3 linked regions of the Macaca fascicularis genome follow. The protein of the gene in region 3 purifies or fractionates together with the protein of the main gene of each other region. This does not show direct contact. Links are inferred from orthologs where the notes say so. Each region holds a gene or a part of one and is shown on either strand. Other genes may lie near its edges.

What was found. The genes of interacting proteins can lie anywhere in the genome.
Region 1: the proteins of WDR77 (region 3) and CTDP1 fractionate together in Homo sapiens (co-fractionation; 3 studies listed by BioGRID and IntAct, with this or other methods). This does not show direct contact. The link is inferred for Macaca fascicularis from reciprocal best matches to the Homo sapiens genes WDR77 and CTDP1.
Region 2: the proteins of WDR77 (region 3) and COPRS purify together in Homo sapiens (affinity purification with mass spectrometry; 3 studies listed by BioGRID and IntAct, with this or other methods). This does not show direct contact. The link is inferred for Macaca fascicularis from reciprocal best matches to the Homo sapiens genes WDR77 and COPRS.

Annotation. Positions count from the first base shown.
Region 1 is NC_088392.1:1,256,782-1,262,836, reverse strand, and holds part of CTDP1 (RNA polymerase II subunit A C-terminal domain phosphatase), read left to right. Parts: intron 1-161; coding exon 162-1,214; intron 1,215-4,085; coding exon 4,086-4,221; intron 4,222-4,379; coding exon 4,380-4,586; intron 4,587-6,055. UniProt on the Homo sapiens protein: Processively dephosphorylates 'Ser-2' and 'Ser-5' of the heptad repeats YSPTSPS in the C-terminal domain of the largest RNA polymerase II subunit. This promotes the activity of RNA polymerase II.
Region 2 is NC_088390.1:38,090,649-38,095,782, reverse strand, and holds the end of COPRS (coordinator of PRMT5 and differentiation stimulator), read left to right. Parts: intron 1-2,466; coding exon 2,467-2,685; intron 2,686-3,183; coding exon 3,184-3,353; 3' UTR 3,354-3,618; downstream 3,619-5,134. UniProt on the Homo sapiens protein: Histone-binding protein required for histone H4 methyltransferase activity of PRMT5.
Region 3 is NC_088375.1:122,923,540-122,929,288, reverse strand, and holds part of WDR77 (methylosome protein WDR77), read right to left. Parts: intron 2,888-5,749; coding exon 2,817-2,887; intron 2,689-2,816; coding exon 2,634-2,688; intron 2,161-2,633; coding exon 2,089-2,160; intron 1,528-2,088; coding exon 1,419-1,527; intron 858-1,418; coding exon 789-857; intron 158-788; coding exon 1-157. UniProt on the Homo sapiens protein: Non-catalytic component of the methylosome complex, composed of PRMT5, WDR77 and CLNS1A, which modifies specific arginines to dimethylarginines in several spliceosomal Sm proteins and histones.

The DNA of each region.
Region 1 (6,055 bases), on a different chromosome or scaffold from region 3:
GGGTGCTCACCCCGTCAGGCTCTTCACAGCAAGGTTGCCAAGGCCTGGTCTAGAGGGTGGCAGAGTTCACAGCCATGAAGAAGGGCACTGCTTTAACTTGGAATGCTATTTAACGTTTAATGCTGAATCGCGGTAACTTTTCCTTTTGCATGCATATTTAGTAAATCATTCTTCTCGAGGCACCGAGATCGCAGAGCAAGCTCCGCCCGTGAGAGAGCCCGAGTGGGGAACGCAGGCCCTTGGAGTGGAGCCCAGCAATGGCCTGGAGAAGCCGGCTCAGGAGCTGAACGGCAGTGAGGCTACCGCCCCCCAGGACTCGCCCCGCCCTGGGAAACCGGACGAGAGGGACACCTGGCCCGCTGCCCAGGCCCCCACCAGCAGTGGAGAGCTGGCAGGCACTCCTGAGCCCCAAGGATCCTGTGTGCAGGGTGGCCGGGCGGCACCGGGACAGCGGCCTGCCCAGGGTGCCACGGGCACTGACCTGGACTTCGACTTATCCAGCGACAGCGAGAGCAGCAGTGAGTCCGAGGGCACGAAGTCTCCCTCCTCCGCCTCTGACGGCGAAAGTGAGGGGGGGAGAAGCCGGCAGAAGCCAAAGGAGGAGGAGAACCCGGCTCCAGAGGGAGCCGGGGCGCTGGCTCAGGGCAGTTCCCTGGAGCCGGGGCGGCCTGCAGCACTGAGTCTCCCCGGAGAGGCCGAGCCCGGCACGCATGCCCCAGACAAGGGGCCCGAGCTGGGTGGGCAGGAGGAGGGCGAGCGGGACGGCCTCTGCGGCCTGGGCAATGGCTGTGCCGACAGGAAGGAGGCGGAGACCGAGTCACAGAACAGCGAGCTGTCGGGCGTCACCGCGGGCGAGTCCCTGGACCAGAGTGTGGAGGAGGAGGAGGAGGAGGACACGGACGAGGATGACCACCTCATCTACCTGGAGGAGATCCTGGTCCGTGTGCACACCGACTACTACGCCAAGTACGACCGCTTCCTCAACAAGGAGATCGAGGAGGCGCCGGATATCCGCAAGATCGTGCCGGAACTGAAGAGCAAGGTGCTGGCTGATGTGGCCATAATTTTCAGTGGGCTGCACCCGACAAACTTCCCGATAGAGAAGACGCGGGAGCATTACCACGCCACGGCGCTGGGAGCGAAGATCCTCACTCGGCTGGTGCTGAGCCCCGACGCCCCTGACAGGGCCACGCACCTGATCGCCGCGCGGGCTGGTGAGTGCTGCCTCCCTGTGCCCCGGGCATGGTCAGGCCCGCCGTCTCCTTGCAGGCACTCCTTAGAGCTGGCATTGCTGTTCATCTCACATTCAACTTTTAGAAACGTTTCCCAGAATCACCATCAAAATTTTAAGAATAGATCATGACGTTGGGTGAAATTCGAGTTCGGGCACGTTCATGCTTTCGGACCGCAGTCATCACGCACAGTGTTGGGTGGTGTGAGTTACTCACGTGCGGTGTAGAAAGTTCAGCGCTTCTCCCTGGAGTGAGCCATGGCTGCATTAGAGAGCAGGGAATCAGCGATGGGGCGAGTGAGCCATGGAGAGCAGGGAATCAGCGATGGGGTGAGTGATCCATGGCTGGATTAGAGAACAGGGAATCAGCGATAGGATGAGTGAGCCATGGCTGGATTGGAGAGCAGGGAATCAGCGATGGGGCGAGTGAGCCATGGCTGGACTGGAGAGCAGGGAATCAGCGATGGGGCGAGTGAGCCGTGGCTGGACTGGAGAGCAGGGAATCAGCGATGGGGTGAGTGAGCCGTGGCTGGATTGGAGAGCAGGGAATCAGCGATGGGGTGAGTGAGCCGTGGCTGGATTGGAGAGCAGGGAATCAGCGATGGGGTGAGTGAGCCGTGGCTGGATTGGAGAGCAGGGAATCAGCGATGGGGTGAGTGAGCCGTGGCTGGATTGGAGAGCAGGGAATCAGCGATGGGGTGAGTGAGCCGTGGCTGGATTGGAGAGCAGGGAATCAGCGATGGGGTGAGTGAGCCGTGGCTGGATTGGAGAGCAGGGAATCAGCGATGGGGTGAGTGAGCCGTGGCTGGATTGGAGAGCAGGGAATCAGCGATGGGGTGAGTGAGCCGTGGCTGGATTGGAGAGCAGGGAATCAGCGATGGGGTGAGTGAGCCATGGCTGGATTAGAGAACAAGGAATCAGCGATGGGGTGTAGTGGAAAAACTCCAGGCAGAAACAGGATGCGGGGCCCTCAGTTCACAGGTAAAAGGTTGACAAAGCCTCTGAGTTAGAAAACTAAGTGCAAAGTTTTGGCTGAAACGTGCGTAGAAGGACACGTTGTGGCTGGGAGAGCGGAGGACAGGCCTGCTGTCTCCTGATGGTGAAACCTGTCCCAGACGGGGCAGGCCGCTCTGACACGTTGAAAGTTCTGCCGAATAAAACAGAACCTTTCAGCGATAGGTGAATCTTGAAGGAAGACTTGCACCCCAGTGCTTAAAAAACCCAAATATCTCAGTATTCTAGTTATTCTGTGAAAATGCTCCCATAAGCACCTGGATTTTCCCCGAATGAAGATTGCCTAAATCACTTCAGGTTCTGCTCCTCCAATCGCGCTTCCTGTCCTGGCGGCGTTTCCTGAGAGGGCTTCTCAGTGCGTGGCCCCGCCTCCAGGGCTCAGGGTAGCCTTGTGGGGTGAGCTCATCCCTGTCCACGCACGCTCCCTGACAGCAAGTGTGGTCTTATTTGAGGCCACGCCTCTAGTCCGTGTCACGTGGTGTTGGACATGCATGTGCTCAGTAAAGCGTTTGAATCAAGGGTACATGGAAGGCTCCATCTCAGTGTGAAATAGGCAGGTGCTGGCTGCAGGGCAGGGGCAGGCTTTCCGTGGAGCCCAGCGAAACCCTTGATCCCAGGAGAAAGCCAGGCCCTGGCCTCCCACGGGCAGTCAGGCCCTTCTCTCCTGAGCGTGGAGCCGGGCCAGGCCACGGTCCTCCTTGGCTCCTCAGGTGCCCGTCTGCCCTGCCCCATGTCTGCCCAGCTCCTGACCCTTCTCTCCTGTGCATGGAGCCAGGCCAGACCGGGGTCCTCCTGAGCCCCTCGGGTGCCCATCTGCCCTGCCCCGTGAGTGCCCAGCTCCTGGCCCTTCTCTCCTGAGCATGGAGGTGGGCCAGGCTGGGGTCCTCCTTGGCCCCTCGGGTGCCCATTTGCCCTGCCCTGTGTCTGCCCAGCTCTTGACCCTTCTTTCGCTTTCCTTCCTTCCCCCGGAATTGTGCTCACGTTTCTTTTTGCTTCGGTGTTTGTGGCCTTACTGTTGAGGGGCCTTCCTGAACACATGCTCACGTCACCTGCTGTGCCCAGCTCCTCGTCTGAGATCCACCACTTCCCACCATGGCTGCTTATCCCTGGCCTGGGAGATGGGAACCTGCAGTGGGCAGCCCTGGTGGGGTACAGCCGAGTGAGGGCCCTGGGCTCTGGTGGGGTGCAGCCGAGTGAGGGCCCTGGGCTCTGGTGGGGTGCAGCCGGGTGAGGGCCCTGGGCTCTGGTGGGGTGCAGCCAGGTGAGGGCCTTGGTGGGGTGCAGCCGGGTGAGGGCCCTGAGCCCTGGTGGTTGCAGCCGGGTGAGGGCCCTGGTGGGGTACAGTCTGTTGAGGGTCCTGGTGGGGTGCAGCCGGGTGAGGGCCCCAAGCCCTGGTGGGGTGCAGTTGGGTGAGGGCCCTGAGTCCTGGCGAGGTGCAGTTGGGTGAGGGCCCTGGTGGGGTGCAGCCGGGTGAAGGCCCCGAGTCCTGGTGATTACAGCCAGGTGAGGGCCCTGAGCCCTGGTTGGATGCAGTCGGGTGAGGGTCCTGAGCCCTGGTGGGGTGCAGTTGGGTGAGGGCCCTGGTGGGATGCAGCCGGGTGAGGGCCCTGGGCCCTGGTGGGGTGCAGTTGGGTGAGGGCCCTGGTGGGGTGCAGCCGGGTGAGGGCCCTGGGCCCTGGTGGGGTGCAATTGGGTGAGGGCCCTGGTGGGTGCAGCCAGGTGAGGCCCCTGGGCCCTGGTGGGGTGCAGTCGGGTGAGGGCCCTGGTGGGTGCAGCCAGATGTGGGCCCTGAGCCTCCAGTGCTGGCCAAGACAGCCTGATGCAGCCGGGTCTCCCGCAGGCACAGAGAAGGTGCTGCAGGCGCAGGAGTGCGGACACCTGCACGTGGTCAACCCTGACTGGCTGTGGAGTTGCCTGGAGCGCTGGGACAAGGTGGAGGAGCAGCTCTTCCCGCTCAGGGACGACCACAGCAAGAGGTGGGTCCTCGCCGCACCCCGCACATCCCTGCCAGGCGTTCCCTCGCCAGACAGCTGTTGGTTCACACACCTAGGCAGTGCCCGCCAGGTGTCCCTGGGTGCCTGCTCTGCGTCGCCCAGACGCCCCGCTCATGGCCCTTGTTCTGTTCCTCCGACAGGGAGAACAGTCCTGCAGCCTTTCCCGACCGGGAGGGTGTGCCCCCCACCACCTTGTTCCACCCGATGCCGGTTCTTCCCAAGGCCCAGCCTGGCCCCGAGGTTCGAATCTACGACTCCAACACGGGGAAGCTCATCAGGACGGGCGCCCGGGGGCCCCCAGCGCCCCCCAGCTCCTTACCCCTCCACCGGGAGCCCTCTTCCTTCAGGTACATGGTGGCGCAGCCACTGCCCCCAGCTAGTGAGGGCTCTTCAAGCTGCTCTGGTCCGTTAGGGGGATGGCGCCAGTTGCCCAACGTGAGGGCGGGTGGAGGCTGCAGACGGTGACTCCCGCTTCCACCTTGTGGGAACGCCGCCCCCACTGGCTCTCTCGGGTCCTTTTGTTCTTCTGTCCTCTCTTGGTTCCCAAAACTGAAACAAAACCCTACAACCAGCTTCTCAGATGTTGTCCAGGCACCTGCATGTGCACACCTGTGGCCGCCCCGCAGAGCACTCGGTCCTGGGAACACTCAGCAGAGAATGGGCAGAGCAGGGCTGGTTTCGAGCCCCCGCCCCCGTCGCCTTGCCGGCTGCTCTCTGCCGGCCCCACGTTTGTTGCTCTGCCAGACCCCGGGCTGCCGTCTTTGTTTCCACACAGAGCAGGCGCAGGGGTGATGGCAGTGGCTGTTGGCAAACAGCACCGTGAGGAAGGGAAACTTGACTGGACTGGAAGGCGTTGGTAGCCGGGATCTGTGCTGCCCTGGAGAGGGGAAATTGCAGGCCCCGGGGGATGCTTCCTGCGCACGTGGCCTCTGTGCCTGTTTACCGGTGTGGACCGGAGATCAGCCCTCAGCCTGAGGTTGTGGCCCCTGCAGACCCCATGGGACATTCTTGGAGATTTAAATGAGTCTTTGTTCTGTGGTTGTTGCTTTGAAATTCAACCAAAAGTTTAACTAGATTAAACTTGACCCGGGCGAGGAGCACCTACCAAGACCTGGTGTGTGTTCACCCCTGGAAGCCCTCTGACAGGTCACAACGCCTCAAATCCTGCGACGGGTGCAGAACGCAGGCTGCTGGAGGGAGACGGGTGCTCATGGTTAATGGGTAGATGGAGAGGTACGACTTGGTGTCCTTTTCGAGCCCTTGCAGGATCCAGCACTGTCCCTGCGTGGGGACACTGAGGCCCGGAGTGCATGGCCCTCCCAGGTCAGGAGCAGGGGTGGCCAGAGCGTGGCCTTTGCACAGTGGGCGGCAGCTCCCGAGCCTGGGTGGGCAGGTGAGTGAGGAGGCCCCGCCAGGCACCACGACAAAGCCCAGTCAGCTTTCGGGAGAGGCCACTCCCTCTGGAAACGCGCTCTGGTTCCTCCCAGGTTTTCTGTTTTTAGATTGTGTTTTGTCTTTTGTGATTCTAGAGAGTAGCGTGTGCCCCTTTCGGCTGATTTCACAGCCCTTGAGGTCACGGTGGGGAGTGTTGCTAAGAGGAGTCGTCGGGTCGGGCGACTGGGAGGTGGGCAGGTGCAGGGTGGCTTCCTGTGCGGCAGCCTGGCAACGCGCTGGGACCTGGGGGATGGGGGGTTTGGGATGAATCCGAGGTTCTCCATTCTGATGACAGGGAAGAGGATCCCCAGCCACACACTGATGATGTCATCCCGAAGGACAGGAAGACATTCTGGTGACAGTGTCACCTCCCGTTGTTAGG
Region 2 (5,134 bases), on a different chromosome or scaffold from region 3:
TGGTCTCGAACTCCTGACCTCAGGTGATCTGCCCACCTCGGCCTCCCAAAGTATTGGGATTACAGGTGTGAGCCACCACGCCTGGCCCTTTTTTTTCCTTTTAAAGTAACTCTCACAACAACCCTATCTTCATTTTACAGATGTGGAAATTGAGGCACAGAATAGTTAAATAAAAACAATTTAAAAATTGTGGTAAAAGATACCTAACATAAATTTACCATTTAACCATTTTACAGCATATAATTCAGTGGCCTTTTAGCACAATGGCAGTGTTGTGCAACCATCACCAGTACCTAGTTCCAGAATCTTTTCATCACCCTAAAAGGAAACCCTGTGCTCACCAAGTAGTCATTCTCCATTCCTTCCTTCCCTGAGTTCTTGGCAACCACTAATTTGCTTTCTGTCTCTGTGGATTTATCTATTCTGGATAGGCAAATGTGAGTTGCCTGTAAATGGAATCATAACAACATGTGCCTTTTGTGTATGGCTTCTTCCACTTAGCGTATTTTCAAGGTGCATCCATGCCATAGCATGTATCAGCACTGCATTCCTTTTTATGGCTGAATAATTCCATCATACGCATATACCACATTTTGTTTTCCCATTCATCCATTGATGGACATTTGTGTTGTTTCTCCCTTTTGGTGATTGTAAGTAGTGCTGCTGTCAGTATCCTTGTTTTATTTGAACACCTCTTTTCAGTTCTTTTGGGTATATGTTTAGGACTGGGATTGCTGGGTCATATGGTAATTCTGTATTTATGTTATGGAACTAGTTAAGTAAATTTCAGCTCAGTCACACTTTTTTTTTTGTTTGTTTGAGACAGGGTCTCACTCTGTGCAATGGCACGATCTTGGCTCACTGCAGTCTCTGCCTCCCAGGCTCAAGTGATCCTCCCACCTCAGCCTCCTGAGTAGCTGGGATTACAGGTGAATGCCACTGCACCCAGCTAAATTTTTTGAAGTTTTTGTAGAGACAAGGTTTTGCCACATTGTTCAGGCTGGTCTTGAACTTCTGAGCTCAAGCAGTCTGCTTGCCTCGGCCTCCCAAAGTGCTAGGTTTACAGGGGTGAGGTACCACGCCCTGCCCAGTCCCATGTTTAGTACTTGGCAAAACAGGGATTTGAAACCAGGCAGTCTGGCTTTAGACCCCTTGCTCTGAACTATCACTTTATTGCTTATCACTGTTACTGTTGTTCCAGTATTAAGAGCATGGCTGTTTTAGGCTGATTGCCTTCTCTCCTGGGACCTGGCATCACCAAAGCACTGTGCTCGGAAATCCATTATCTTTCCCCAGTCTTTCCTCTCTTATTGTGAGACCTTTTGCAAATGTACCTTCCAGCCTCCCCACTGTCAGAAGGAGGCACTAGGTGCTGCCCATTGTAACTAGACAGGCTCTGGTCTGTCTGCAGTGCCCCTGCTCTCCTTTGTCCCTGTGCTCACCTCTAACATGCTCTTTGAGGCTGAAGGGAGGAATAAAAGAGCAAAAACGGCCGGGCGCGGTGGCTTACGTCTGTAATCCCAGCACTTTGGGAGGCTGAGGCGGATGGATCACAAGGTCAGGAGTTCAAGACCAGCCTGGCCAAGATGGTGAAACCCCATCTCTACTAAAAATACAAAAAAATTAACTGGGCATGGTGGCGGGCACCTGTAATTCCAGCTTCTCAGGAGGCCGAGGCAGATAATTGCGTGAACCTGGGAGGTAGAGGTTGCAGTGAGCTGAGATGGCGCCACTGCACTCCAACCTGGGCTACAGAGTGAGACTGTCTCAAAAAAAAAAAAAAAAAAAAAGCAAAATCTTAATTCAAGCTTGTATTGTGAAAGCGTATTATTTATCAGAGGCCCTTTGCCTCAGTGACAGACATGCAAACCACCTGAAAATGTTAACTGTCCCTAGCTCTCTTTGTAAATTAAAGGACCTGGCAATTAATGGTCTTGTATAAGACAAAACATCTTATTGAAAATAAGTTGGCCGGGCGCGGTGGCTCAAGCCTGTAATCCCAGCACTTTGGGAGGCCGAGACGGGCGGATCACGAGGTCAGGAGATCGAGACCATCCTGGCTAACACAGTGAAATTCCGTCTCTACTAAAAAATACAAAAAACTAGCCGGGCGAGGTGGCGGGCGCCTGTAGTCCCAGCTACTTGGGAGGCTGCGGCAGGAGAATGGCGCAAACCCGGGAAGCGGAGCTTGCAGTGAGCTGAGATCCGGCCACTGCACTCCAGCCTGGGCGACAGCGCGAGACTCCGCCCCCCCCCCCAAAAAAAAAAAAAAAAAAAAGAAAATAAGTTATCAGGTCTTTTAAAAACATACACAGAAGAGCATTTTTTAAAAAGTGCTCAGGTGGCGAAAGAAGACTCTGTGTACTTGCTTTACTACCTTCCTAGTAAGTCTGCCCAAAATTGACTGAGCACACAGCAGGTCCTCTTTGGTTTGTCACTAAGGCCATCTTCTCTTTGTCAATTTAGCCCGTGGAGCACAGAGCGTCCCTAATGACAGTCCTGCCCGGGGTGAGGGCACCCATTCTGAAGAGGAAGGTTTTGCCATGGATGAGGAGGACTCTGATGGAGAACTGAATACCTGGGAGCTGTCAGAAGGGACAAACTGTCCACCCAAGGAACAGCCTGGTGATATTTTTAATGAGGACTGGGACTTGGAGTTGAAAGCAGATCAAGGGAATCCATATGGTAGGTGTAGAGTCTCTGGGGGTCCTGAACCAGGCCTTCTCAGACACACCTGTCAGACTAGCGCTGAAGGCAGACAGTTTGGAACAGGGGTCCACATCTATGAGCTTAGGCTGGTATCTGTTACAGGTCTGCAATTTCTGTGACACCTCTTTTATATTGAAAAAAATACATTTGACTTCGTAATGTATCACTGTTTTAACATCAAAACTGTCACTGTCTCCAAAAATGTCTGCTATGAATTGAGCAGCTGCAGATAGAAGTGCTGTGTTATCCAGTTTGCTTCCTCTCCACTGCTAAGAACCCTTGTCTGAGAAGCACAGCTTCTCAGCTGTTCAGAATGAATGCATTTACAATTCTTCAGGAAAGGAGAACTGTGTGTGTTTTTAAACAAAATAAGTGCAAGGATCTGTCCCCTAGGCATACTTTGTGGCTGTCCATTTTTACCTTCCTTCCTTCCCTCCTTCCTTCCCTTAATCTGTCTTTTAAAACTGCCTGCAGATGCTGACGACATCCAGGAGAGCATTTCTCAAGAGCTCAAACCTTGGGTGTGCTGTGCCCCACAAGGAGATATGATCTATGACCCCAGCTGGCACCATCCGCCTCCACTGATACCCCATTATTCCAAGATGGTCTTTGAAACAGGACAGTTTGACGATGCTGAAGATTGAGTGTGGAGCTTTCTGCCTTGTAGGTGGGCGGGCCTCCACGTCAAGATCTCTTTTCCTGTCTTGGAGGTGAAAAGTGGTATCTGAGAAAACGTTCTCAGTGACCCCTAGTCTGCAGTACACAGACTAGTTCTTTATTGAACAGTGTTCAATAAGGCCCCGTCGTTCTCCCCAGTCTGTTGTTGTTACTAATGGGCTCCTCCTTGGAATGTGTATGTTTGTGTCAAGAGGAGTTGTGTTCTTTGTAAATAAAGGTGAAAAAAAGAAACTAGTATGCTTCGTCTGCTTTTTTCCCATTTATTTATTTATGGAGACAGTCTCACTGTGTCAGCCAGGCTGGAGTGCAGTAGCACAAACTTGGCTCATTGGAACCTCCACCTCCTGGGTTTAAGCGATTTTTGTGCCTCAGCCTCCCGAGTAGCTGGGACTGTAGGTGCATGCCACCACACCCGGCTAATTTTTTGTGTTTTTAGTAGAGACGGGGTTTCACCACGTTGGCCAATCTGGTCTTGAATTCCTGGCCTCAAGTGATCCACCCACCTTGGCCTCCCAAAGTGCTGGGATTACAGGTGTGAGACACTATGCCCAGCCTTCACTCCTTCATTTAAAGTCCCTGAATGACGTTTTAAAGATTGAAACGCTTGGAGGCTTAAAACTACTTTGTGAAAGAAAAAAAAATTGCCAGGCGCAGTGGCTCAAGCCAGTAATCCCAGCACTTTGGGAGGCTGAGACGGGCGGATCACGAGGTCAGGAGATCGAGACCATCCTGGGTAACATGGTGAAACCCCGTCTCTACTAAAAAATACAAAAAACTAGCCGGGCGCGGTGGCGGGCGCCTGTAGTCCCAGCTACTCGGGAGGCTGAGGCAGGAGAATGGCGTGAACCCGGGAGGCGGAGCTTGCAGTGAGCCGAGATCCGGCCACTGCACTCCAGCCTGGGTGACAGAGCGAGACTCCGTCTCAAAAAAAACAAAAAAAAACAAAAAAAATTTAGTTTTGCTTCTGTAGATCTGGCACTGTTGACCAAGGATTGAAATCCAAGAGACATTGGTGATTTTGTAGCTGATTGTTTTCCTGTTGGTAGAAAATGGAACATTTACTTAGTTAACAGGCTTTTCCCTAGGCTGAAAACTAAATGGGAAATTAGTTAAACCAGCAATTGCATAATCCTTAATTGACACTAAACTCAGTTTTCCATTTAATATTTTAATCCTTCCTTATGTGAAGTCTCTTAAAAATTTACCTCATTTTGGCTGGGCACGGTGGCTCACACCTGTAATCCTAGCACTTCAGGAGGCTGAGTTGGGCGGATCACCTGAGGTCAGGAGTTCAAGACTAGCTGGCCAACACAGAGAAACCCTGTCTCTACTAAACAAAAATTAGCCAGGTGTCATGGTGCACACCTGTAATCCCAGCTACTTGGGAGGCTGAGGCAGGAGAATTGCTTGAATCTGGGAGGCAGAGGTTTTGGTGAGCCGAGATCACGCCGTTGCGCTCCAGCCTGGACAACAAGAGTGAAACTCCATCTGCAAAACAAAACAAAACAAAAAAACCCCCAACTTTACCTCATTTTAGAGATAAGGAATGCAAGACTCAAAGTTTTGACCAGGCCGGGCGTGGTGGCTCACGCCTGTAATCCCAGCACTTTGGGAGGCTGAGGCGGGTGGATCACCTGAGGTCAGGAGTTGGAGACCAGCCTGGCCAACACGGTGAAACCCCGTCTGTACTAAAAATACAAAAATTAGCCAGGTGTGGTGATGGACGCCTGTAATCCCAGCTATTTTG
Region 3 (5,749 bases):
CTCAGTAACACTCGCAGGTCCAGGGGCTGGGAGAGGTTCTGTGGGCACGATGTGGTGGACGACCTGATGGTCCCAGCCCACTGTGGTAAGCAGGGAGTGATTGAGCGGGGACCAAGTCGCATCTCTCACAAAGTCGCTGTGGGCTCGGCTTCTAAACCTAGAAGAAAAAAAGTCAGGGCATAGTAGAGACAAGAAAAGCAGACCTGGAGAAAAAAGAGAACCCAACACATCTGGGGCATATTTTTTGGGTGTGTTACACACATTTCACCAACTGTATGGCCTCGTCGCCAGGATAGCAGTGTAGCTATCCACAGTGGATGTCATCAATCATCCAATCCAGTCCTCTATTTTCATAGATGAAGAAATGCTGGATAGAACAAGACAGTGATGTGGGGCAGTAACAGGCAGCAAATCATGGCAAGGAGGGAAGTACAATTCAGGTCTTCCAAGTGCTGCCTTTTACCCTGTAGCAGACTGCATTTCATATGCAGTTCTCTATGTGAAAGGATATACTGCCGCCCCCTTGTGGGAGAGGGCTGGAGTGCTAGACTTAAAAATTCCACCTACCACCCCGCTCTACCAAGGACACAGCTTTGTCCTTGGGGTTGTGAATGTGCCCCATGAACGGAGAGGGTCAACAGCCAGCCTGCTTCCATTACCAAGTCCCTTCAGATACAGACGGAGAATCTGTTCTCCAAAAGCACAATACACTTTTCTGAAGAGGAAAATGACTCACCCACCCACTGCTCCCCTTCCCTGATTCCCAAAGGATTCCACTTCACACTTACACCTCAGAAAGGCTTGAGTCCAGCACAGCAAGTGAGCAGTCTTCACTGAGAGAGGCCAGGAAGGGAACACTATCAGAGGGAGGAGAGGGTTGTGAAAGGCACAGCCTGGATCCCAAGACAAAACCTTAACTGAGCTGGCGCCACCGCTACTGTAAAGTGACCCAGAAAAGGCAGCCTGATTCCCACTTTTGGCTAAGGTCTGGCTACTCTAAGTTGACACTAAAAGTTTCAAGTAAAGATGAAGGAAATGAAGCAAAGTTAGGGTTGACAACCATCCTGGTAACTAACCGCCCCATCTGGTCCCTCTCTATAGCTTCAGCAATAACCCAGAAACACAGGCTTTTCCAACCTCACAGTCCCAGAAACCCACAATATGAACCATGTTGGGTGTTGAGCAGGAATGAGACCACATTTTAGCCATTTCAGACAGAAACCGTATAATCTGAAAAATCCTTTGATTCCCAAAGGATTCCACTTCCCACTTAAGAGATCTTTGATGTTCCAAAACCTCAGTTAGAACACTGTCTGCTTTAAGGAACTACTTAATGAGCTAATGCTTTGAAAACATACACACACACCCTCACTGTTCCCATTTATACCCATCAGGCCCCTGATGACAAAGAACAGTACCTGTGTGGGGAGAACACCAGCCCAGTGACACACTGGGAATGTACAGCTGAGCTCAGGACACAGCTTGTACTCTTGGTATCCACAAGGGAGACTGTCCCATTCTCATCACCTGTAGAAGAGAAGGGACATGTCATGGTAATTAAGAGCATGGACTTTGGGGCCAAAGATGTGAATCCTAGTTCCTTAAGCTTGGAAAAGTTAACCATTCTGAGCATCAGTTATCTCTTTTGCAAAGCAGGGATAAGTCGTCACTGGATGATTGTGAAAATTAAGTTAATGAATGAAGCAGTTATTATTTTAACCACAAACTACGTCACCATACACACAGCCTCATGACCACGATAGCTCTACACCTACCCACAGTAGAAAAGAATTCGCTGTATAGCAATCCACTTGCTTTGTGGCTCACTGACTTATAGCCATGCCCAGAATATAGGAGCTAGATCCATCAATCAAAAATCAAATCCACTGGGAAAATAATCATGTTCTCCAAAGCTACACTAAAACTACCTTGGCATCACCCCACCTCCCCACCCTCAATTCATAATTCATCTAGTGTCCATGAGGGCTAAGACTGAGCAGCAAGGGCCTTGTGCATTGTGGAGTCAGCTCTTTCTCTTTCCTCCTCCCCTTTCCCAGAGTCAATATGAAGTCTGACATGCTGCCTTACCAAAGACAAAGACTTCACTTTGCTGAGGATGCCAAGCCAGTGAGGTAGGAAGGTAGCCAGGCGCACTGCAGCCTGCAAAGGAGAGAAGAGGGTCTGGACAAAAACTCAAAAGAGTCCAGAAGAAGCGGTTTCTCAAATGACATCACTCTAAATCCTGGGAGCACCTTTATTTGATTTCCCAAACCCTGCTAAGGCAGCAGTGTCCTCATCCTTGAGCCTCATAACCATTTATCCACCAGCTTCCTGCCCTTTCTGGACATGAGTCACAGGCAAGTTTCAGGCACAAATCATGAAGATAACAATTCTGGCCCCTTTGTCCTCCCGTCTAATAAAGTAAATCAGCCACCCAGGAACTGGCCCTTCCTCTTGGTATGCATTGCAAGAATGGGGTTAGCAGAGTCTCAGTGGAAAAGAAGGAGATTATGTCACTCATGTCACAGTAACTACACTGGGCATCTGGCAACTATGCTTTGACACTGGCCAAAGAAATTCTCTTCTATCAGGGTTCCAAGTACTACTCTCCCACCAATGAATCTCAGACTCACCCATCTGTGATGCTGGCTTGGGACAGCGGGTATCCCAGAGTAAAATTCTGTTGTCCTAGAGGAAGGCGGAACAGAAAAAGGATCTCACAGTCCAAAGCGCTGCAGGCCAGAAAGTCTCCACACTAGAGACTTTGGCCTATGGAGGGCTGGAGTGTGTTTAGGGAAGAAGGAGCTATCTCTTACCTCGCTGCATGAAAGAAACACAGAGTCCTTGTGAGGAGAGGCAGCAACACAAGTGACCTGTGCAGCATGAGCTATAAAGGAGAGAGAAAGAGAAACATGATAGAAAACAAGCTGAAGCATTACAAGAGGGCCAGCCCAGGAGTAATCAAGGTGCAGGAGGGAGGGAGGGCTGGTCTCATGATGCAATTTAACAAATTTTGTGGGAGATTATGGATCAGACAAAAGCTAAGAGGAGAAGTTTATACACTTATAAAACCTAAAAAGCCTTGTAAAAAAAAAATGTATTAGTGAAAACAATGAATGAGAAATTAGGAGCTTATTAAGAATAACAAAGGAATTTCCAGTTAAGGCATCTTAGACGTGAGATCTAAATAATTCTAGAATAGCAGTCTTCATACTGGAGCACACATACCTCCAAGTAGTATACAAAAACTTTCGAGGGAGTTCTGGGCGCTAATAGTATTAAGAGAGCCAATTTCTCTAATGTTCTCTTTCTTAAAATTGAACTGCCTCTATTTTCACAATCACCCTTCTTCCACTTTAAAGAAAGAACACATACCTGTCATTCATCCCAGATCTTTCCATGGTACAATGCTCAGGGGTATAAAAACATAAGGGTTCTAAACTAAGGCACAAAAGCGGCTTTTCCCTAAGAACCGAAGAGCAAAAAGAAAGAGTATCTAGGTAAAATTCAATGAAGGGGGCGCTGATCTTGTTTCAGTCACACCACAAACACAAGTATGGTTCTGTAACTTCACTCTGTTTCTGTCTAATAACGAGAACTAAAACATATGACAGATCGTTGTGATAAGGACATATTCAACAACTTTATCTGAATTTAAAAACAAAGTCAGACTTTTTCTGATGGAAAATTTAGTCTAACTTGGTCCACTGGCTTTACAATGCAGATTGGCTTTTGCCAGTTAGGCTATTTGGTAGACATTTGTACAAACTAAATAGGATTAACCTGCAAACCTAAAATTTGGACAAATATACGCTTGAAATAAGTATATAATAAATTATATGCCAGAAATTACCTTCTCTGCAACTACTTAAAAAATTTCTTTAGGTATCAATTTTAAAATGTATGAGGGGGCACAGATTTTCAAAATTGTTTTAGGAGGTCTACATGTAAAAAACTTTAAAGTCACTGCTACATGTTAATTGGAAACTGTGGAAACCTCTTCCACAGTCATTTTACCAGACTTTCCCAGGTAGTCTGAATGTGGCCCTTCCCTGAGGCAGAAGGATGGAACTAAACCAGCTTCCATAGTTCTTTCCTAGCCCTAGAATTCATAGAAAGTCAACAGAATAAGAAGTAAGAAAAGGAATTTATTGCTCACTTGAAAAAAGCAAAGCTCTGGGACAAGCATCATGGTGGTAAAGAAAAGATGAAGAATACATGGTTCCTCTACCCTCAAAGGTTTTGGGGCAGGATGCAGTGGCTCATGCCTGTAATCTCTCAGCACTTTGGGAGGCCAAAGCGGGAGATCCCTTGAGCCCAGGAATTTGAGACCAGCCTGGGCAACATAGCAAGACTCTGTCTCTACAAAAAATTAAAAAAAAATAAAGGATTTGGAATTCAGCAGGGGGAATAAGACACAAACACAAAGAATAACAGAAAGGCTGCATGGCAGAAATGCTGAAAAAGAGTTAGCATTAACCAGGAAAGCACATATGTCTACGCAATAAAAGGCAAATATAATAGACGTAGGGCATTGACTTTTTTTTTCTCTCCTGAAACAGCTTCACTCTGTTGCCCAGGCTGGAGTGCAGTGACGTGATCTCGATTCACTGCAACCTCCGCCTCCTGGGTTCAAGCGATTCTCGGGCTTCAGCCTCCCAAGTAGTTGGGATTACAGATGTGCACCACTATGCCTGGCTAATTTTTGTACTTTTTAGTAAAGACAGGGTTTCGGCATGTTGGCCAGACTAGTCTCTTAACTCCTAGGCTTCATATGATCTGCCTACCTCAGCCTCCCAAAGTGCTGGGATTTCAGGCGTGAGCCACTGCGCACAGCTGGGCATTCAACATTATTGTAAAACTATTTGCAAGTGACCCTGAAGGTCCAGGATACTGGACCTTGGATATGAGTCTGTGATTTCTCTGGTCTATAACTTAATCATGTACTTTGAAGTTAGAAATGGCAGGGAAAGGCACTTAGCCATTAAGAGAACCACAGTGATCAATCACCCAGCATCTAAATCTTGGAACATGCACACATTAAGGCTCTAGACATTATCTTCACAAAGAATGGCTCCCAAGATAAAGTCAACCACTAGTGCTGTTAATGAAAGTGAGCAGAAAGAGGGGCATTAAAAAAGCAATGGTTCTCAAAAGAAAACAGACATTTTATGAAGGTAAATACTCAAAAGTTCAAGATTTGAAAGTCTCAAGATTTATCCCTTGAGAATGTCAAGGATCTAATAAGCTTGAAGAGAGGAAATGCAGTAAAAGGGTTTCAATGCCATTACAAGAAAATGGGATTTTAATCCACTGGCCACAAGAAACTAATAAAAGACCAAAAGAGCTAGATTGCTAGTGGAGACATGAGTGCTACTACCTGTGTAAGGTAAAGCCTGAAAGCGAATAGGGGCATAGAAATGGATAGGAAGGTGACTGACCAGTGGAAAAGACTAAAAAGAACTTAGTGGCCAACTGATGGTGGGGAAACAGAAGGGGTGGAAAAGGACCGAGAGTTTGAGCCCTGTGTTGCCAAGGTGGTGAGGCCATCAATAGAAACAGGGAAACTGGCTGGTCTGAAGGTAGCGAGTTATCTCAGTTGATTGTTCACAGTCAGTTACAGACTAAACTCCTTGTCTATTCTTCCCCTCTTTTCACTACTGTACTTGACTAGTCGAATTAAAAAAAAATAAAAAAGAAAGAAAAAAGAAACAAGGAAATTGAGAAAAGGACAAGGGGTAGATACTGG